Linked DNA regions of Diceros bicornis minor. The main gene of each other region encodes a partner of the protein of the gene in region 2 in a complex. Links are inferred from orthologs where the notes say so. Each region holds a gene or a part of one and is shown on either strand. Other genes may lie near its edges.

Region 1 (7,142 bases), on a different chromosome or scaffold from region 2:
TAGCTATTATTCCACCACGGAAGGCTAGGAAGACACATAACCTCTGAGTCTCGTCTCACGTGAGTCCCTGCCTCACATGCCTCAGAGAGCTATTGAGGCTGTGGCTGTGCTGGGAGAATATCTGGGAAACTTCCAGAAACACTAAAGTGCTCCACAAAATGCACCATCTCCCGTGGGCGGGAGTGTGGCTCTGGGAGTAGAGGAGGGGAGAGGGGTGAGTGAAGCTCAGCCGCCAGCTTGGCGGGTTACTTTAGGCCTTCGCTCCTGGTGCCACCCTACCCCACCTGGCCCTGTGTCTTTCCCACGTGTGCCAGGACCACATGGACCCCTCTGTTGGTGGGATTGTGCCCCGGAGCGTTGGAATGTGGCCAGTCCTGATGGGATTGGCCACCTGGTGGGCTGAGGGGACTTGGTCCTAATGCAGCAGTTCTCACAGTGTGGTCCCTTGGGGTACCCCTGGAGGGTACTTGCTCACAGTGTGGGCTGGCTGAAAATGGAAGGAGTGCACGGCTTGGAGCAGTAGTAAGCTCCCTGTCGTGGGAGGTATTCAAGCAGTGGCTGGGGGGCTACCTGTTGGTGTTCTAGCATTGAGTGGGGACTGTCCTGCTGTGTTTTTCTGTGACATTAGACACCCCACTTCTGTCCACCTGTTGCTGACACTGCCCCCCTTTCTCTTGCAGACTCTACTCCCACGGAGACCCCCGGGGGGAAGCTCCCTCTCAACATCCTCTCCCAGGTGCCGCTGGTCCGGTGGGTCCTCACACTCAGCTTTCTGGTGGCGACGGTGGCCGTGGGGCTCTACGCCATGTGAATGCCAGCGTGCTGCCTCCTGGGAGCCGTGAACTCTCACCAACGGAAGGCCTCTTTCTGGAGAGGGAGAATCTCTTGGCTGGCTTCCTTACCTTGGGCACGGGGGCTGTCGGGCCCCCACCCTCTCCCTGCGTCCCTCTCTCTCTGGAAAGCAAGGAGCCTGTGGTGGCTTCCCCAGCCAAAAGCGCAGCCAGCTGCATGATCTGAACTTTTGAAGCGGGCCGAGGGGTCCCGCCAGCCCCTCAGCATCCCCGTTCCTGCAGCAGAGCCCAGAAGACGTGGCCCACGGAGGCAGCTCTCCTCACCTCCAGATGCCCTGGGTTCACGGTCTCCTCGCTGATGTGCCGTGCCCGCTGTGCCCGCGGCCCATGGCAGTTTTTACATAAATGTGCAAAGATGTTGTGTCTCGTGTGTCTGTCTTGTTTTTGTTGGAGCCACTTTTTGTTCCCGGCTCAGCCTGAACTGGGGATTTTTGTTGTGTTCTCATGTTTTTATAGCAGGGTTGGGGTGGGTTTGGGGGGAGCGGGAGGGGGTGCAGAGGGAGGTGTTTAACAGCACTGTGGCCTTGGTCTCTAACTTGTGTGTGAAATAATAAAGGATACTGCCTGATAGTAACTCGGAGTGTTTTTCTTGGGCTCTGTTACCCTTGGGGAACAGACCTTCTCGTTGCTTGTTTCTTGACTGCCTGCTGGGGAGACGTGGTGAGGGTGCTGGTGGCAGGAGCTGGTTTTGGACCTTGTGCTCTGTTCTGAGAACGTTGGTGGGTGAGCTTTAAGCTGTTGGTGGGCGAATCTTTGTGGCAAACCCCGCTCGACGTGAGGCTCAGCTTTACCGAGGATGGGATTGCCCCGTGAGGCTGAAATGAGCAGATTCTGGGATAAAATTTGTGTGTCCCGCACGATAAATCTTAAAGACTTGAGATCCTGGGTTCAAATTCCCGTTCCTCCACATTGTAGCTCTGCCTTGGAGGTTAGTTATTAACTTCCCTGGGACTCAGTTCTGTCACCTGTAGCATGAACACAGTGAGACCCACTTCACCTGCTTGTTGTGAGAAGCAAATGAGATGCAGGTAAGATGCCAACCTCATACCACAAGAGCTCCTATTGTGAAACAATGGAGATCAGTTTTTTGTGAATTTTGCCTAGTGATTTTTTTTTTTTTTTTGAGGAAGATGGGCCCTGAGCTAGCATCTGTGCCCATCTTCCTCTATTTTGTATGTAGGACGACGCCACAGCATGGCTTGATGAGTGGTTTGTAGGTCCGTGCCCAGGATCCGAACCCGGGACCCCCGGGCTGCCAAAGTGGAGTGCGTGAACTTAACCACTACACCACTGGGCCAGCCCCTGCCAAGTGATTCTTGTCCTGTGAGAGTCACCTCTCCTCTGTCATCTCATTTAATCTTCACAGCAAACCTGACAGGGGTGTTACCACTCTGAGGGGCAGGAAGGATTTAACCCAGGTCTGTCCGGCCCTAAAACTCAAGCCTTTTCCATGAAGTCACGCAAGCCACTGAAACACTAAATATGCAGCCTCCCACTCTGGGAAAGTGAAACCCCTTACTGAAGGTGGAGTTGGGACAGCAGGGGACAAAGGGTTTCCTTATACCAGTAGGAAGCGAGGACCGGGAGTCAGGAGACCTTGATCCCCAGACTTGGCTTGGTCACTAAGTCTGGAAACTTGGATGTCACTTCAAGTCTTTGTTCATTGGCAAAGAGAACAATACGCCTGCCTCCCACAGCTGGTGGGAGGGCCCAGTGGTGACCAAACACCAGCGGATGTGGCATCGGAATCACTCGGGGAATTCGGGTCCCACCCCGGGAGGTTCTGACTCTGGAGCCCTTGACGGGACTCTGGAATTCTGTTCACGGAGAGCTTCCACCGTGCGGCCAGGTCCTGGGGCCACTTCAAGAGGTGATGGCCAGAGAGCAGGCTTCAGACAGCAGCCACAGCTCTCCCCACCTGGGCCCAGTTTCCAGAGCTTTCTGTGAATGGGGCATCCATATTCATTGTTAGTCGTGACAAAGAAAGGAAGGAAGGGGGCGGGCGAGAGAAACCATCTAGAATTCTACCAACAGGAAAATGGCCCAATAATTTATATCCTATTCCTACTACGGAAAACACAGCAGCTTGTTAAACAGAATGTGTTAAATCTGTCTCTCCGCTCAGGGGGACTTCCGTGAAGAAAATGAGCAAAGCCAGTTTCAGATTCATTTGATATAATTTTTACACACTGTAAAAATACACATAGTTTGAACACATAAATCTATGTTTGTGTGGATGTGACCAAGAGGGTAAAAAGTTCTTTCCAGTTTTTTGGGGGGTGGGAAGGGAAAAGAAGGGAGGGGAGATGATGTGGTCCCTGTTGCAGCTGGAGAATGCATCGAGTTTTGCCAAATCTTCTTGCTTTTCAAGCTAGGTTGGGGATCTGGTCATGAATTTTCACAAATTTTAAGCACTACCAGGTAATGCAAAATCTACAATAATAAAAAAAATCACCACTCGGATCTAAGAAAACATCCCTTGCGTCCCAAGTTTGGGACGATTTTGGTCCCAGAGGTGTTAGGGAGACCCGAGGTGACTTTTTTTCTGATAAACCTCCAACTTTTGGGCGAGTGTGTACCGGTAAGAGAACACGGGGCGGGGGTGCAGGGGGCTCACACTGCGCAAGCGCGTGCTTCTCTGAGGACTCATAGCTGCTTTTTTCTTTTTGTGAGGAAGATCAGCCCTGAGCTAACATCCATACTAATCCTCCTCTTTTTGCTGAGGACGACCCGCCTTGAGCTAAAATCTATTGCCAATCCTCCTCCTTTTTTTCCTGTTTTTTTCCCCAAAGCCCTAGTAGATAGTTGTATGTCATAGCTGCACATCCTTCTAGTTGCTGTAAGTGGGATGCAGCCTCAGGAGAAGCGGTGCCTCGTGGGCGCCCAGCGTCTGAACCAGGGCCGCCAGTAGCAGAGCGCCCGCACTTAACCGCTAAGCCACGGGCTGACCCCCATAGCTTCTGAACCCCGAGTTCTTACACCCCATGGCTCGGAAAGCGGCTACTTTACCCCAGTCCGCCCGCCCCGCCGCCATCTTCGCGCCCGCCCTGCCCCTTCCTCCCCTTTCAGAACTTTCGCGCCAAACCGGCCGACGCACAAAATGGAGCCCGGAAGGGGGCCAGGACTGACGTCAGGCGCCCCGCAGCCAATCCTCTTCAGCGGCCAGCCCGGGAGGCGGGGCTCGCGGGCTCAGAGCGGCCCAATCACTGGCCGCGCGGCCCCGGCGAACCAATGGGGGCGCAGCGGCCGCGGCGGGCGAAGGCGGGGTCTCGCTTTTCCCGCGAAAGTCGGCGGGGAAGTGTGGGGTGCTGGTTTGTCCCGGGCCGCGGAGTGCGGGAAGGGAGAGGTGAGGCCGGGGGCCTGGGGGCCGCGGAGCCGGCCCCGCGGGGGTCGACAGGCTCTGCATGTGGGGGCGCGGTAGGGGCGGGCGGGGCTTCTCCTGGGAGAGCTGGCGTGGGTGGGGTCCGGCGGGGAGCCGGGGTCGCCCAGCCGCCGGAGCCGAGGACCCCGGCGTCCGAGCGGAGGCGAGGCCGCGCCGCCCGGCCCGCTCCAGCGCTCTGTCCCCGCGCCAGGTGCAGTCATGTCGGGCTTCGACGACCCCGGCATTTTCTACAGCGACAGCTTCGGGGGCGACACCGCGGCCGACGAGGGGCACGCCCGCAAGTCGCAGCTGCAGAGGCGCTTCAAGGAGTTCCTGCGGCAGTACCGGGTGGGCACCGACCGCACCGGCTTCACCTTCAAATACAGGTGCGGGCTGGCGCGGGCCGGGAGAGGTGCGCCCCCAGCAGTGCCTGAGCGCTCAGCAGAGCCCCGCACCCCACTGGCCTATGGTTGTGTCCATTTTATCCCCGGTGTTAACTTGCCAGTGAGTCACCTGTTGAGTGGGCCGCTAGAGCCACTTGGGCCCTTTGGTTCTTCCTCTAGGTCTTCTTCCTGCTCATTTGCTTCGTGCTGTCCTCACATGTAGTGTCTGTGATGCCTTGTAAACTCAGGTTCACTGTGGGTGCGACCTGTGGGTGGTAGTTATGATCGACTTTGCTCGTTCATTCCTTGCCATTGGTAACTTCAGTGGATTGAGCGTCTGCTGCAGGCCAGGCCAGGCACTGTTCCAGGCACTGAATGAGCTGGGCAAGGTTGGACACTGTGCACCCTGTGACGTCATGCCGAATCCTTGTAGGCCCTTCAAGTGCAGAGAACATGAGTTTGCAGGTCCAGGCTTGGGCATGACCAGTTATTAGCTGAGTGGCTTCCGAGTGACCGTCTCTCTGGGCCTCAGTTTCTTCATCAGTAAAATGGGCTTAGCCACTCCTGCCTCTGTTTACTCACGCACCAGCTGACATGGACCACCTATGTGCCAGGCACCGTGCTGGGCACTGAGATACAAAGGTGAAAGATTCATTCTGTTTGCCCTCAAGAAGCTCATACATCAGTAGGAGCGAGGCATGGAGACCAGCAAATAAATTACAAGGTGATAGTCACCTCAAAGGAGAAATATAAAAGGAGTTAGGGAAGGCTTCCATGGAGCCCAAATTTGAGGTGATGCTTGAGCTGAGAGAATAGTTCAGGTGTGGAAGGCTTTCCGTATAGGAGCAGTTGCGTGCACGGGCAGAGGTACGGGGTGGCCTGTGATAGCAAGGGGCTCTCCGGGCCGGGCTCCTGGACATAAGGTGAAGGGGATGAGGCCTGAGAGAGGCTGAGGAGCAGGTTCTGCGTAGGTCGTGGTCCCCAAATGTGTTTTGGGGACAGTAGTCCCATGCGATGTTCTGTGAAAAGAGTCTGGTGGTTGACAAGACAGACATGGTCTCTGCTGTCTTCAGTCTCCGAGTTTGAGCTGTGTGCCTTGTTAACCTCCAAGAGAGAGTTAAAGCCTCCGAGTCCTGCAGTGAAAGCGCTGGTTTGCAGTGCGAGTTTCCTAAGCTCACCTGTGCGCAGAACCCTGTCTGAGCCATGCAGCATCCCTCGACTATCTGGTGGACCACTTCCACAGAGCTTTCTGTGGAGGGTGGCTCTGTCAGCGGCGGGGAGCCTCTGCAGGGTTAACTAACGGAACCACCTGGAATTCGATGTGTGTTTGGGAAGAGGGGTGGTGGGGCAGTGGCGGCCCCAGTGTGGGCAGATTTGGGGTGCGGGTGCACCTCAGCCAGCGTTGGTTTCCTCTTCTCCGCACCCTTCCCCGCCCCCACCCTGCCACCTGCCCCCTCCAGGGATGAACTCAAGCGGCATTACAATCTGGGGGAGTACTGGATCGAGGTGGAGATGGAGGACCTGGCCAGCTTCGACGAGGACCTGGCCGACTACTTGTACAAGCAGCCGGCTGAGCACTTGCAGCTGGTGAGTGGGACCCCATCCCTGAGCCCCTCAGGGCTGGTCCTGCTCTGGTCACTAACAGCGTGTCCCCTTCCTCCTCTCCAGCTGGAGGAAGCTGCCAAGGAGGTGGCTGATGAGGTGACCCGGCCCCGGCCCACTGGCGAGGAGGTGCTCCAAGACATCCAAGTCATGCTCAAGTCGGACGCCACCCCATCCAGCATTCGTAGCCTGAAGGTGGGTCTGCCTAGAGGCCAGGCGGAGGGTCAGGGGGCTGCTGCGTGGTGCGGAGGGCCTTCGGAGGTAGGTGGACCTGGGTGCCAGCTGTGTGAGCCCGAGCAGCTCACTCGACCTTTCTGAGCCTGTTTCCTCCTCTGTAAAATTAGTTCACTGGACACATGTTTCCTGAGCCCCTCCTGGGGCAAGGCAGTGAGTTGGGTCCTGGAGAAACAACGGTGAACTAGAGGACAAGCTCCTGTCCTCGCGGAGCTTCTGTCCCCTGGGGGAGACTGAGTAAACCCGTCACCGTCACTCACGATAATTTCAGATGATTGTCAGTGTGATGGAAGAAATCAAGAGGGTGATGAGAAAGTGTGGGGGCCCCTCTGGAAAGATAGAGAAGGCGTCTTCGAGGAGGTGACATCTGAGCGGAGAGCTGAGGATGAGGATGAGCAGCATGCAGACAGCTGGGAGCGAGCATTCGAGGGAGGTCGAGGGGCAGGTACAGCTAGTGCACAGCCTGAGAGGTGAGGAGGGCACGGTATGTTCGAGGTCGCGTTGCAGGACAGCCAGTGTGGCTACAGAGTGATGAGGAAGCAGGGGAGGTGGGCAGAGCCGGTCTGTCATCTAGGTTATCCCTTTTATTCAACAAATACTTCCTGAGTGGCTGCTACGCGCCAGGAGCTGGGCCTAGACCCTCACTATAAACAGACGGGCCCTTGTTCCCGTGGAGCTTATGGTGGGAGAAACAGACACGGGACATTGAGA
Region 2 (7,078 bases):
ATCTTTCAAAAAGAATTTACTTGCTAGAATTTACTTTGAGGAACCTAATGGCTACTAGCCATAAATCTAATCATAATTAGGATTCCCCCCACCCCCACCAGCAGGCCTGAGGCAAGCAACATTTTCACTGTAACTAGCTCTGGTTATACATGCAAAATAAGGACTGTTGAGGACTATAAGCACTGCAGGCTGAGGGCAGGAAAGGTTACTATTCAAAATAAAAACAAGCACATACTCTTCCCTCCTTTCTCCACATCTGACCTGTCATTAGGCCCCGCAAGCATGGACACGGAGAAGCAGCGGTACTGTGTGGAGAAGCGGTTCTGGAAGACCCGGGGAATCGGGTGGTCAAACATGTTGAAAGAAAACTAGGAGGAGGAAAGAAATGCCGGAGTTAGAACAGAACAAAGGTACATTTCTTCTCGTCAAAGCCCAAACAGGTCAGGGTAGTTAATGCCGCTAAACATCATCAAAGAACAAGATGCCCCCAAATCCTGATGGACCAGAGCAGTCTGCCTGAACACCTCCCAGCAGCACAGTGAATCTCAAATCTCTCTGTTCTACACATTCTTCCATGCCAAGTCTCATCTCTCCGATTTAGTCTCCACTGTTTTCAGATGGTGTGAACATACTAAAATATAAAACTAGCCACATCAAGCCTGTCCTTAATCTCTTTCAGCCCCCAAACACCACAGGATCCAAGCCAGACCTTGCACCCACCTCAGGGACCGGTTACTGATGGCCCCAAAATCTCCTACACCTGCCACGTCCCCGCCAGGCTGGTTCCTCCACCTGGAACACTTTTCCTCTTCTCATTAATTTAAAAAATCTCTATTTATTGAGTGCCCACTATCTGCCAGGCTCTGACTTAAGCACTCGGGAAACATCACTCTAGTGATGTCTGCTCACCAACAAAACAGGTACAATCTCTGCCCTGGTGGAGCCAACATTCAAGATGAGAGAAACAAGCAAAAGAAAATGCCTGCATGTCTGGCAGTGATGAAAGCTCTGAGGACAAGAGAGGTAAGGGACAGAGACCTCCTGGGAATGCTATTTTAGATGGGTGGTCAGGAAGGGACTCTGCAGAGACCTGAATGCCAGGAAAGGGAGCCAGGCAGAAAGCAGGGAATGGCATTCCAGGCAGCAGCAAGAGCAGGCGCCCAGTGTTTGCACCCCTTCCCGTTCTCCTGGCTTCATGACCACCCTTTCCTTGCTCCAGGAACCTTCCCTGCTCTGCCCAAGGTCTGGGCTGGTGCCCCTCCATTGTGCTCTCATGTGCTACACTGTGGTACTCCCTCCTGTTAATAAGTAAAGCCAAGATGTGGTGTCATCAAAAAGGTAAGATCTCAGCTCTTACATTGTGGATTACAATGAGGCTTAGAAAACACGTTACACAGCAATCTGGGGTCTTCTCAAAGTATTGCAATTCCCTTGATGTTTAAAAAAAAGAATACAAAATTGCACAATAGGGTATATATCCAAAAGAACTGAAAGCAGGCTCTTGAAGAGATATTTGTAGACTCATGTTCACAGCAGCACTATTTACAATAGCCAAGAGGTGGAACAACCTAAGTGTCCATTGAAGCATGAATGGATAAACAAATTGTGGTATATCCATACAATGGAATATTGTTCAGCTTGAAAAATGAAGGAAATCCTGTCACATGCTACATGGAGGATGAACCTTGAGGACATTATGCTAAGTGAAATAAGCCAGCTACAAAAAGACAAATACTATATGATTCCACTTATATGAGGTCCCTAGAGTCATCAAATTCATAGAGATAGAAAGTAGAATGTTGTTGCCAGGGGCTGGGGGAGGGGAAGTGGGAAATTGTTGTTAGATGAGAAAGTTCTGGAGATCCATTACACAGCAATATGAATAAAATTAATACTACTGAACTGTATATTTAAAAATGTTTCAGATGATAAATTTATGCCATGTGTTTTTTACCGTAAGTTAAAAAAAACCCTCACAATAGACAAATATTTCTTGACTTGATTCCAAATATAAATGAAGTAGAGAGCAAGCCATCTACTGACAAGGTAGTTTCCTGGCAATTCCAAAATTAGTAAGCTGAATCAGCTATCTTTCTAATATGCAAATACAGCATGCTCCTGATTAAGATCTCAAATGGCTCTTCACTCCCTGGAGCTCCAGCATAGCAGTTTTCAAACCTTTCCCTCTCTTTTTTTAAACAGCATAACTCTGTTCAACAAAATCTTGGCCAGAAGCAGGACAAATGAAACAGGATTTCCAGATGAAAGAAGGGAGAGAAGCAGGCACCTCCCTGAGCCCTGTCACTACACTAACTCATGTAAGCCATTTCTTCTCTTTACAACAGGACAGAGTAAAATACACACAAAGTACTTAATATCCCTAACAATCTGCCTTCAATCTACCCATGAACCTGACCTTCTGCCCCTCTCTGCTGCTCCCAACCCCAAGTTCTACTTCCCTTTACACCCCCAATGCCTAGCATATTACCAAGACCTATCAGGTATTCAATGTCCATTAAGTGCATGGACTTGAGAATAGAAACGTGATTCAACACTGACATACCTGGGATAAAATCTAATAATCATTCCTTGTTTTTATGAAAATAAACAGCTGACACTGAGGCAATGCTGTACAATGGTAATGAGCCTGAGCTTTGCAGCCAGATAGACTTGGCTTCAAATTTCCACTCCTCACTTTTGTGACCTCAAGTAAACTATCTACCTCTTTAAACCTTAGTTTTCTCATGGTTAAAATAATGATCACCCATGCCTCCAAGTGCTTCATAAGGATTAAACGGGATGAGTTGTAATGAGCAACTGTAGGTGTTAAAAGAAAAAGCTGCGTAATGGAAAAAGGGCCAGTAAATATTAGCTACTACTGTTATCTTTACTGAATCGCTTAAATAGCCGAAAGCATCATCACACTCGAGGCATGACCAAGAAATACTGGGCTTGAGGAACTGGGGTAAGGGGATGACCCCGCGCATTCTCACTGGGAGCCCCTGATTCTGCTCCTCGCCCTCACAACCTTCCAATTAATTTGGTGTTTACGGAAACATGCTACGTGTCTAGCACTTGCAACTAGAAGCTTCCTTTTTCCCCTCAAGAAGTTCAAGTCCAACTGAGGAAATGCGAACCATGCTCCGCACAAGCGGAGAGAGCCGAGGCCGTTAGCGGTGAAGGGTTCGGCTCCAGCCCGAGGCGCCCCGGACGGGCAGACGGGCCGGACTCCGGCCAGGGTGACTCGACATCTCCGTAGCCGTCACGTCCGCCCCGCCGGGCCCCGGCCTCGGCCCTCAACCCCAGCTCCCGGCCGCAGCCCCAGCTCCCGGCCCCTGCCTGGCCGCGCTTACCATGATGGACACCTCTGCCTCGCTGCCGCCGCTTCGCCCAGGGAACGTAACGATGGCAGCCCGCCGACCGCTCTCCTCACAGCCGCCGCCGCCGCCTCAGCTCCGACCGCGGGGAGACTCACCGGAAGTACCGGACCTGAGACCCGGGGGGAGGCGCCGAGGGCAGGGGTCGGCTGCAAAAGAGAAAAAGCCAGGCAGAGGCGCTAGGGTCTAAAATTTCCCCGGAAAAAGCACTAAAATACCCTTTCCTAAAGTGTGCTCCACTCTCGAGTAATTTTTATAATTACTTTAAATTACATTTTGATAGTACTCCCCTCTAGAGGAGTTTAGTGGGGCCCATTCTCCTTACTGACTACACTACCCAGAATGCATGTAGACCTTCCGGCCTTTGCCGCAGCCATCCAGGACTCGGGCGGAAATAAGCTACACATCCTCCTTCAAACTAGACCGAGAGCCTAGTGACATCGTAAACTGACGCCCCCGTTCGATGTATAAATTAATTTAATTCATGACGAAAATGTTTCTTTTTCTTGGAGCTCCCAGTGGGAGGCTATAGGCTTCTCTTCCCAAAGTAAAGATGTCCACCGAGCGTCGGGTTTCTGGGTAAACGGGAGTCAGAGGTGAAGTGGACAGCCCTGTTTGCGTCCCGCCTGTTGATGACGCTTTTTTCGGTCAGGGCCGGACTGTTCCAGCGGAATGGCGGAGCGCTACTGCCCGCCTCAAATATGCTCCAATCAAAAAGGAGGAAAGGCTGGGCACTAAGTAGCTATTGGTTGGCCCCTAGGCCAATCGGAAGAGCTCTGATTTGGCGGGAGTCTTGACCGCGGCCGGAGCTCTCCGTGTCTCAGAGAGAGCTCTGGGCGTCCGGCCGCTGTGGCCATGTTCGTGTCCGATTTCCGTAAGGAGTTCTACGAGGTGGTCCAGAGCCAGGTGACCCCCTTTCTTGGACCCTGAAGCCTTGTCGGGGGGAAGGGATAAAGGGGAGCGGCCGTGGGAGGGCGGGAGGGGCCCGGGTTCGTGTCGCTGCGCTCAGCTCGCCGCTCTTCCCCCGACAGAGGGTTCTTCTCTTCGTGGCTTGGGACGTGGACGCACTGTGCGCTTGCAAGATCCTTCAAGTGAGCCCTGCGGACCCTGGGAGGGTGGGGCCGGGGCGAGAGGAGAGGGTGCAGGGTGGGCACGGGCGGGTGGTGGGGGCGCAGGGTGGGCAGGGAGTGGGGCGGGAAGTGAAGGCTTAGATTCCGGGAAGTGAAAGCTTAGCGTCCGGGGGGAACAGGGTGGGGTAGGCAGCCGGGCGGGAGGTGAGGAGCGGGGTAAAGAACCCCCTCTGGGGTGAGAACTCAGGCTCCCAGTGAGGCCTCCGGTGAGGGCCGGAGCAACGACAACTGAAAGCCGGGAAGGGGGACTCTGAGAGATCACCTCCCTGGCAGGAGAGTATTGGGCAGGTTTGAGAAGGATTAGGCAAAAGGCAGAGACTAGTTAGTTTTTTTGCAATAACCTAGGCAAAAAATGGCTGCATTCGAGAGACCTATAGACCCATAGTGGCTTCTCAAATGTGGGATTTGAGACAGAGGAATCTGTGACAACTGAGTGCACAGTGGTGTCATAAGCAATACTGGAAATACAGGATGCAAGATCATTGGTTCAGTTTTGAGTGTGGTGCGATGTTTACAAGAACTTTGGTCAGGCACTTGGGTCAGGAACTACTTTAGGTCTCAGAAGACATAAAAATAAGACCAGCTTTTCTCCCAATATTTTCCTTTGGTAGTTTTTAAAAAAATTCAGCAACGTTGAAACGTTGAAAGAATGAACAGTGAACACTCATATCCCCATTACCTGGTTTCTCCTATTAACATTTCACTAACCTTACTTTATCCATGTCATTTGTCTCTCAGCCACTTGTTTTTAACTGCATTTCAAGGGAAATTGCAGACACCCTAATTAAGATAGGTTTTGAAAATCATCTCTCTCCAGGCCCTGTTCCAGTGTGACCACGTGCAGTATACGCTGATTCCAGTTTCTGGGTGGCAAGAACTTGAAACTGCATTTCTTGAGCATAAAGAACAGGTATGAGAGATATATTTTAGAATGATTAGGCTTTTTTTACTCAATTGCAATTTCTCAACACTTAGCATTCTTTCTATTTCCACAGTAGGTTGCATGTATATGTAAGTATCAACTATATTAGGCAGTACGGAAGAGAAAACTGAGCTGTATGCCCGTGTGAGTTGTGGAGACAAAATGGACAGCGAAAGAAAGATAGTGAATACGTATAGCCTTTAACTTTGAACTTGTGTTGCTGACATTTCTTTCTAAGCTGCTTGGAATTTAGCAGTTAGTTTTTGATATGGCCTAGTTAAAATTATTTTAGATTAGACCATTATTTTACATTGTCTCTCCAAGAAAATGTATTCCAGTTTCCAACTAGAAATCTAGGAACATATCTTCTCCCTTTGTAATTTAAACAGTAGAGGCCAGTACTCCTACCACCTCTGTATGGAGCTGTAATGAGATGTGGGACATCTTAGAGCCCACTGCCCCACAGCTGCCTGGAGTCTCTGGCCACATCTAGGATTGTCTGGCAGAGATAAATCCTTGCCTGGAGCTCATGTCATCACAGAAGGGACCTGTGCCAATTCGGTGTTTATAAGGAAAGGATTCTCTATAGTGATAGGATATAATAAAAGACTTAATTTAATATTTAGGTGCCCATTAAGTATAGGCTGCCCAAGATTTGCTGAAAGTGTAAACCTGTACAATGCTATTAGTATGGAGAGGCAGCACAGCAGACTGAGGTCTGGAGAGGCCCAGTTATGCATTTGAAGTTTTGATCTGCTCCACATCAGCTTCTTGCCCCTGTGCATGAGACTCGGCCATGCTGACCCTCTGCATGCTCCTCAGCGAAGTGGAGACAGCCGTGGTGCCAGCGTGGAGCCTATCTCACGGTGTCATCATGAACATGAAATAGCATATGGTATATGTTAAAGCTCTTAACACAGGCCGGCCATGGCCATTTTTGGAGCCTCTTGCTGTCAGGGCCTTGCCAAGTGTCGGAGGCTTGATGTTTCTCAGCGGAAGGACTCAGGCCTAGTATGCTGAGGTAGAGGGCCTCCGCAATGCACTTAGTGCACAATGTCTCTTCTTTTTTCAGTTTCGTTATTTTATCCTCATAAACTGTGGAGCTAACGTAGACCTATTGGATATCCTTCAGCCCGATGAAGACGCCATATTTTTTGTATGTGACACTCACAGGCCAGTCAATGTCGTGAATGTGTACAATGATACCCAGGTAACTAGGGCTTTGGGGCCCACGCCTCCCCCAAGTTCTCCCATTGATCTGACTGTACCTTTTAATGCCACAGACAACATTGCACCTGGTGTTCTTGGCAAGGCACGTATCCACCTCCCATATAGGAGTTGGAGCAGCCTGAGGACAAGAACTTGTCTGTCTTTGATGAGAAGCATGGCACTTTACCCTTGGAGGTGCTCAGAATGCATTCGTGGAATTTGCTTGACCTGGGAGGTGTAGATACCAGAAGCCTGCATTGAGTCTGCCCTTGGAGCTCAGGCCAGCCCAGTCTCATTGAATATCGGAATCTCAGAGGAGTTTGCTCTATAAATGGGGCTTGGACCTGCCCTGATCATCCAAGGGGTGGTGTAGGGACCAGCAAGATAGCAGTGTGAGCAGTGTGAGAGGCCACCGTGAGCCTAAAATGGCCCTGCTGTGC
Region 3 (7,315 bases), on a different chromosome or scaffold from region 2:
CCTTTTATGAACAAATATTATTTTAAGGAATAGTTGAAACTGTTGTACAATTAATAAATCTGCAGGTATACAAAGGACAAGTGTGAAATAATTTTGCAAAAATATACACAAACTTTCAGATTTAGACTTTTTTTTTTAACCTATAGTAGGAATTGCATCCATTTTGTGCCCCTTGCCTCAGAGGCTTGATCTGAGCCTCTGGGAGCCCAAGATAATTCTCCTAAAAACTCACTTAAACTATTACCAGTTCTGCATATAGTAAGTGGATAATCATTTCAGTTTGCTGAACACAGCATCTAGCCATGAGGGATTCTGGAATGAACCAGAGTCTCTGCTCAAAACCCACTGACTATCATCCCCCTGGGAGGAATGATTCTTGAGAGCCTGTGTGTGTCCTGGGCCTATTAGCCTTCAGATCAATCAAATCAGTTCTCTCTCTGCCCCTGCTCAGCTGTGTCGCAGAGGGGCCAGAGCCTGCAGGCCTGCTGCATCACCTACTGGCAGGTGGGTTTATCAGTGGAAGGTGAATGCAACAAAAGGTGCCCCACCACACTAAGACCTAGAAAAAGGAGTGATTTTACAACTTCTAAGTTCCATCCCTGGCTCCCCAAAAGCAGTAAACCAACACTTATCTTAAAATTTGAGTGAGAAGGCCAGCTGGACTAAGAGTCTTAAGAGCCGGTTCCAAGGCCACCTCAGCCAGCACCTGTTGGAGAAGTCTCTGCCTCTCTGGGCTTGTTTCCTCATGTGCATCATGAACTCCAAAGTGCCTAGTTGTCCGGACCCCAGCGTGGAGCCATATTTTAGAGCCTACATACCTCTGCATTCCAGCATCTCTACTAAACTCCCACTGTTGTCTCCTGACTTTTTAAATGAGGTAACTGTCCTGAAGTTGAAAGAACAACAGACTAGAATCTAGGAAACCTGTGTTCAAGTTGAGGCTCTTCCTCCAATATGCTGTAAGTTCAGACAAGTACCTTAACTTGATCCATAATTTCTGTTGGCTCAGTTTTCTCATCTGTAAAATGACCTAATTGTCAGACTAGGTGCCCTTTAATGTTCAAAACAAAACTCACCCTCCCCCGAACACTCTTCCTCCTCAACTCCAATGTGGTTTACTCAGCCACCTGAGAGAAGCGCCTCCCAAAATCCCGATTCCTCCTCCTCACTGATTACTCACCCCATCTCCACTTCTGTTCTAATAGTTAGAAGTCTTGTTTGTCTCAAGCCCATACAGGCCAGACACCGATTTCAGGGCCCACTGACCAGACACAGTTTGGACCATACACATCTATCATCTGGTCTATTTTAACCACCCACTAACGATCTCCCTGCCTCCATTCTTTCTTCTCTCCAATCCATTCCCCATATTGCTGCTGCTATAGTTATCCTCAAAACATAAAAAATTACCCTCTCACTCCCCTGTCTAAAATCCTCTGCCAGCTTCCAAATGCCTTATGAGTGAATACCAAACTCTCCCAGGCCTGGAACCCACCTCTGTAGTCCCTGCACACACCCTGTCTTTCAGTCACCCTTTGCTATGTGATTGCCCGTCTCTGCACTTGGCTGGGACGCCTCACTCCCTTCTCAGAGTGGTGACCTCATCCTTCTAGGCATGGCTCAAACGCCCCCTCCTGTACCCTAGCTCACACTGGCATTTCTCCTTTGTGCTCCTTTTCTACACCTCTTCGGCATCACCTATCACATTACATTCTATTACCTGTTTTCGTGCCCCACTCCCAGCACAATGTGCCCTGGCATCCACACTGTGGCTGCCCTATGACGGGGGATGTAGTCAAGTATAGAACCTAGAGTTCAGGCTCTGGAGCCAAACTGCCAGGGTTTAAATCTGAGCTTTACTTCTTACTGGCTGTGTCACTTAATCTCCCCAAGCTTCCAACAGATAGCTGGAAAAAAATGGAAAATAAAAGATGGTTTAGACTTCAAAGGGTTACCATGAGAACAAGAGATAATATAGGTTACAGTGATGTATGATAATTAGTCTTTGGGTGGTGACCATGATGCACTCCATACAGAAATGGAAATATAACGAGGTGCACCTGAAATTTACATAATGTTATAAATCAATGTTACTTCAATTAAAAAAAAGAAAAAAAGAGAGATAATGTAGGTCAAGCGCTCAGCACCCTGACTGGGGTAGCAGTAACAGGGAAATAAGAATAATCATAAGAGCAGTAGGAGTAGCAGCAGCAGTGGCAGAAAGAAAATTAATAGCAAGCACTGACTTAGCCGTTCCTGGGTGTCAAGCATTGTTCAGAAAGCCTGACATACACCAACTCATCAGCCCTCAGCATACCAGGAGTTGGGTACTATTCCCATCGGCCCCATTTCTGCAGAGACGAAAACAGCACAGAAAGCTTGAGTAACTCGCCCAAAGCCACACGATGGAGCCAGAATCCCAGCCTGGCTCCACAGGCCTAGCTTTCAATCACCACCCTTTGCTGCCCGAGTGCACGACAAATGCTAGAGCACAGGCAACTACTAATCAATGCTTGGTGCAACAAAGGAACAGCAGCAGAGCTGCACACCGGAGAACACTAAGGGAGACATAGGAGGAAATTCACAATATCGCCGGGTGACATAAACATTAGTGCTTTCTTTTTCCTCCTATACTTTGTCTTGCCACGTTCCAAAACTTCTGTCCCCCGACTTTGGAGCTTACACCACGAGAAAGTAAACCCTCCGGGTAAGGCGCAAGGAAGAACCGCGGGAAGCCGCCCCGCCCCCGGTCCCGCCCCCGGGGCTTCCAGGCCCCGCCAGCCAGCACGCCCATCTTTGTCTGCCCCTGCCCCCCTCACGTTGAAGGCGGGCAGCTGCCCTTCGGGTGTGCGATGCAGCTCGCGGACCAGCTCCATGGCCTTTTCGCAGAACATGGCGGACGCGCCCCGGTCCCGCGGCCTTGTGAGCCGCCCACTCTCACGACAAACGGTCCCCGGGCTCTCGGCCGCCGCTCTCGGCTCCTATCTTTCCCGGTCCCACAGCTCCTGATCCTCGCTTCCCCTCCGCGTTTTGGCGCCAAGCCTGGCCAGCCAATAGGAACGCACTGATGGGCGTCGCGGCCTACGGCGGCGGCAAAGGGACATTTGACTCCACTGCCCAGCTGCTTCAAGACGGGCAGAGTCCTGGGTGGAGGTCCTTTGCTGGGGATGGCCCCCGCGTGTGGGGAGAGCCGGCGGGCCTGGGTCCGCAGGCTGAGTAGACTTCTTCGAGTTCCCAGGAGGGTAACCAGGCAACTCTGCGCGCACCACGGCTCGGGAGAAATGCAGGCCCCGCAACTTCCTTTTTCCATTTGAGTCATTCCTTTTCGTTTAGGTTCCAAGGGTTGCGCACTTTGAGGTTCAGAAGGCAGGCCCGGGAACTTGGTGTGCATTCACGTTATGACGCAGCGTTTCGTTCGTTAGTTTTGCAGTGTGAGTTTTTCGTTTGATAGATAGTAATGGGAAACCAAGTTTTATTGGGTATTTCTTGTGTGGCAGGGACTGGGACTTCTATTTCATTTAATTCTCAGGATTAACCCTAAGGTGGTCATTAAGTCTCTTGGAACGGATTAGGAAACAAGTTATGGGCCGCCCCGTGGCTTAGCGGTTAAGTGCGCGCGCTCTGTCGCTGATGGCCTGGGTTCAGATCCTGGGCGCTCACCAACGCACCGCTTCTCCGGCCATGCTGAGGCCGCGTCCCACATACAGCAACTAGAAGGATGTGCAGCTGTGACATACAACTGTCTACTGGGGCTTTGGGGGAAATAAATAAATAAATAAATAGAAGTCACTTCTTAAAAAAAAAAAAAAGGGAAACAAGTTAGATAATTTGCCCGAGGTCTCACAGCTCATCAAGTGACAGACCCTGTATTTAAGCTTTCAACTCCACAGTACCACCTTTGATTTTAAAAGAAGTCATTTAAAAACATTTGTAAAATAGCTCCAGTCACAAGGTCTATGAAGGGGGAAAAATGCCCCAGATTAACACGCATTCACATAGCCATATACTTGCCTAAATGATTATGGAAATTTTCATAACTATATAGAATCGAAGGTGGGAATTACTGCTATAGAAACAATTCGTTTTATTTGGATATTTTTTAAAAAGCAATATTACTTGGATTCATTCTAGCTAACCCTAGACACTGTGTCCCTCTTCTGCAAATATAGATACAGTAGATGTGTGATCTGAGACGTGAGCATGGGAATGGCCTACAATGCTTCAATCATCCTTAAGTTGAGTGACATTTCATTTTCAGCTCTACGTTAAGAGATAATTTAGCTAAGTGTTTTCATTAAAGATACAATTCTCTAGTGGACTGTGCTACAGTATTGTGATCCAAAACCTTTTTAATTTTGCCATAAACCTTTTTAATTTCAGTCCCCAGGCCTGGGATTCACTTCCTTACCTATCCAATGAGGACAACAGTACCCACTTCTAAGGGGTTGTGATGATTCATTATTCCTGCAGCAAATATTTTCTGAAGTGTCTATTACATCCTGGGCATTGTTCCAGACACTTAAGATGAAGCAGTGAACACAATCCTTACTCTCAGAATCCACGTGCCAGTTTGGGAAAAGCAATACATAGATGCCGATATACTAATGGCAAATATTGGTAAAAAGTGCTACGAAGGAGAATAAGCCAAGGAGGGTGAACAGAGTACTGGTGAAGCCTGAGAGTTTTGAGTTAGTGTTCAGAGAAGGCACAGACCTGAAGTGGGGAGGTAGTGAGCCACGTGGATATGTGGCCACAGCATGGGCAGAGAATTCCAAGCAGCAGGAATGGAAGTGCAGAGGCTGGGAGGAGGGGTGTGGGGGGACGTGTGCAAGCATGGGAGGCAGTGACACTGGAGCAAGGTGAGCATGGGAGAGGCTGGTGGCTGAGACCAGAGCGAGGGCTGGAGGCCATGTAAGGTACAGCCTGTGGGCCTTTACATAAGCTTTTGGTTTTATTTTCAGTGAGATGGGGAGTCAATGAAGTGTTTTGAGCAAACAAGTGACAGGATTGGACCTAGGTTTTTAAAAAGACCTTTGTGGCCGCTGCGTTAAGTACAGGTGAGGCAAAGGAGAAGGCAGGAGACCACTTAGGCTATTAAAATAATCCAAGTGAGAGATGATGGCATCTTGGCCCAGTGTGTGGATGGTGGAGGTGGTAAGAAGTGCTTGGATCCTGGGGATAGATTTTTAAATGAGAACTGACAAAGCTTGGTGATAGATGCTGTGGCATAAGAAGGGAGGAATCAAGGGTGACCCCAGGGTTTGGCCTGAGGAACTCCAAGGGTGGAGTTGCCACTCCTCACGTGGGGAAAGTTGTGGATGGAGCTGGGGGTGGGAGAAGAGTTGGGAGCTCAGCTTTGAACACAATATGGTTAGGCGCCTGTAGGATATCAGAGTAGATGAGTAGACCATTGGATAGAGGAGCCCAGGGTTCAAGGAAGAGGTGTGGACTATTAGAGATACAAATGTGACTGTCCCCAGTGACAGGTGGTATTTAAAGCCTGGATAAGATCACTCAGAAAGTGAGTGTAGACTACGAGTTGAGGACTGTATAGGCAGGGCCTAGTGCCAGCAAGCAACACTCAATACCCTTTACATTTCTCTCTTCTCTCCAGCCCTCCCTTCCTTGCTTTTTTGTTTCTCTATTAAAAAGGATTTTGGGGGCCAGCCCCTTAGAGTAGCAGTTAAGTTCACACACCCTGCTTCCGCGGCCCGGGGTTTCCTGGTCTGGATCCTGGGTGCGGACCTCGGCACCACTCATCAAGCCATGCTGAGGCAGTGTCCCACGTGGACGAGCTACAACTCTACAACTATGCTACACAACTATGCACTGGGGCTTTAGGGAGAAAAAAGAAAAAGAGGAAGATTGGCGACAGATGTTAGCCCAGGGACAATCTTCCAAAAAAAAGAGGATTTTGTGAGTGATAGGTTCAAAATTTTTTTACACTTTAGTTCCTGGATTCCCAATCTCTGGTATGTACTACTACAATGCTTTATAAAGAATTCACCATTTAAATTCCACAAGTGTAGTTGGAGATATCCACACAAATATGAACACTGGTTGTGATATCTGGTATACAATCAATGAAATTCTTCTGCCATTTCAAAGTATCATCACTGTGGGAGATCAAAATTGGCCACCCTGAAATATATCTCTTTACCTTGATTATTTTCTCTGATGGACATTTGACCTCCCCCAAACTGCCTAAAGGAATTTAACTCTGGGTGTAGACAGACTGGCAGGGTTCTTGCTAAACCCATTCTTAACAAAGCTCTGTTTACCAAATATTTACATTTGTAACGGTATCTCCCTCTGTATAGTGGGAAGAGGGGGGATGACTTTATCTGTGAAAACTCTTATCAGGACAGAAGACAACGACTTAAATCTACATACTCGATCACTATAATTCCTGTCTCTCCGGCCACATTCTTTATAGGTGGCCCTGGAAAGCATTGTCTGACGAACACTTACATTTCCCTGTCCATGTAAATTGTCTTATTGCCCTCTGAAATCCCAAAACACCACCTGCCCCAACATCCTCCTTTGTCTTTAGCTGAAGATGGTATTTAAGATGAGAATCTCTGCCACTGTGTTGAGAAATTCAGTTTCCCTGGTTTCTCCCATGTATACATGTTATTAAACTTGGTATTATTTTCTCCTGCTAACCTGTCTTGTTAATTATTTGGCCAGCCAGAAGAACCTTAAGGGAAAGGGTGGAGGGGGATTCTCCCTCTTCCCCAACAACACAAAGCTAATACAAGGAGCTATTGAATTTCTAAAGGCATTTCTAATTGATCTTAAGTTATCACTGGCCAATAGTTTTCAACTGATATAATTGTTGAAATTACAAAAGTTACTTTCGAATAAGTAAGCAAAATCTCTTGGTGGCAGATGGTTTGTAAAAAATAATGGCCAAAGCTATAAAACTAAACATGTGAAACTGCTCTTTTATCTTTTCTGTTTGTAGGATGGGTTGAATTAGTTCTTCATTTGGGCTTCACAAGTGGAAATTTATCTTTGAAATGGATTGTCCCCCTTCTGCTAGTTCTAATTGTTTTACAAAAATCTAAAACCTAATACAGGTTTTTAAAAAGTAACAGCTGTTTTCACATGTCGTCCCAAAAGCTAAAAATAAGTATCTATACATTTGTGTTTCAACAAACCAAAAAGTACCTGAAAATGCATTTTTTTAAGTAAAGTCCTTGTGGGAAAACAGTTATAAGTCATTAGAATTGTGACTTGTTACCTTTTTCTTTTTGTCCTATAAACCTTTGTAAGAACATTTCCAGGGGTTTACCCAGATTGGGTTTTGAGT

What was found. The genes of interacting proteins can lie anywhere in the genome.
Region 1: CDC45 (region 2) and MCM5 share a complex: the UniProt entries of both Homo sapiens proteins name them as parts of the CMG helicase complex. The link is inferred for Diceros bicornis minor from reciprocal best matches to the Homo sapiens genes CDC45 and MCM5.
Region 3: the proteins of CDC45 (region 2) and GINS1 are in contact, whole or in part, in a cryo-EM structure (PDB 6XTY), measured with the Homo sapiens proteins. The link is inferred for Diceros bicornis minor from reciprocal best matches to the Homo sapiens genes CDC45 and GINS1. Residues at the interface, in NP_003495.1 of Homo sapiens: Arg18, Gln37, Phe40, Gln41, His44, Val45, Gln46, Tyr47, Thr48, Leu49, Val50, Pro51, Glu64, His65, Gln68, Phe69, Thr394, Asp395, Ile398, Leu401, Asp402; in NP_066545.3 of Homo sapiens: Leu146, Tyr147, Glu149, Arg151, Glu158, Thr165, Ser166, Val167, Leu168, Lys170, Lys171, Asn172, Ser173, Gln174, His175, Phe176, Leu177, Pro178, Leu195.

Annotation. Positions count from the first base shown.
Region 1 is NC_080764.1:14,204,311-14,211,452, reverse strand, and holds the start of MCM5 (DNA replication licensing factor MCM5), read left to right. Parts: upstream 1-4,142; 5' UTR 4,143-4,197; intron 4,198-4,423; 5' UTR 4,424-4,431; coding exon 4,432-4,598; intron 4,599-6,055; coding exon 6,056-6,182; intron 6,183-6,263; coding exon 6,264-6,392; intron 6,393-7,142. Other genes in the region: HMOX1 (heme oxygenase 1), read left to right, coding at 681-811. UniProt on the Homo sapiens protein: Acts as a component of the MCM2-7 complex (MCM complex) which is the replicative helicase essential for 'once per cell cycle' DNA replication initiation and elongation in eukaryotic cells.
Region 2 is NC_080774.1:32,205,811-32,212,888, forward strand, and holds the start of CDC45 (cell division control protein 45 homolog), read left to right. Parts: upstream 1-4,059; 5' UTR 4,060-4,232; coding exon 4,233-4,283; intron 4,284-4,408; coding exon 4,409-4,468; intron 4,469-5,324; coding exon 5,325-5,417; intron 5,418-6,501; coding exon 6,502-6,639; intron 6,640-7,078. Other genes in the region: UFD1 (ubiquitin recognition factor in ER-associated degradation protein 1), read right to left, coding at 236-368, 3,354-3,356. UniProt on the Homo sapiens protein: Required for initiation of chromosomal DNA replication. Core component of CDC45-MCM-GINS (CMG) helicase, the molecular machine that unwinds template DNA during replication, and around which the replisome is built.
Region 3 is NC_080758.1:51,383,314-51,390,628, reverse strand, and holds the start of GINS1 (DNA replication complex GINS protein PSF1), read right to left. Parts: upstream 3,001-7,315; 5' UTR 2,895-3,000; coding exon 2,820-2,894; intron 2,678-2,819; exon of another isoform or gene 1,721-2,677; intron 1-1,720. UniProt on the Homo sapiens protein: Required for correct functioning of the GINS complex, a complex that plays an essential role in the initiation of DNA replication, and progression of DNA replication forks.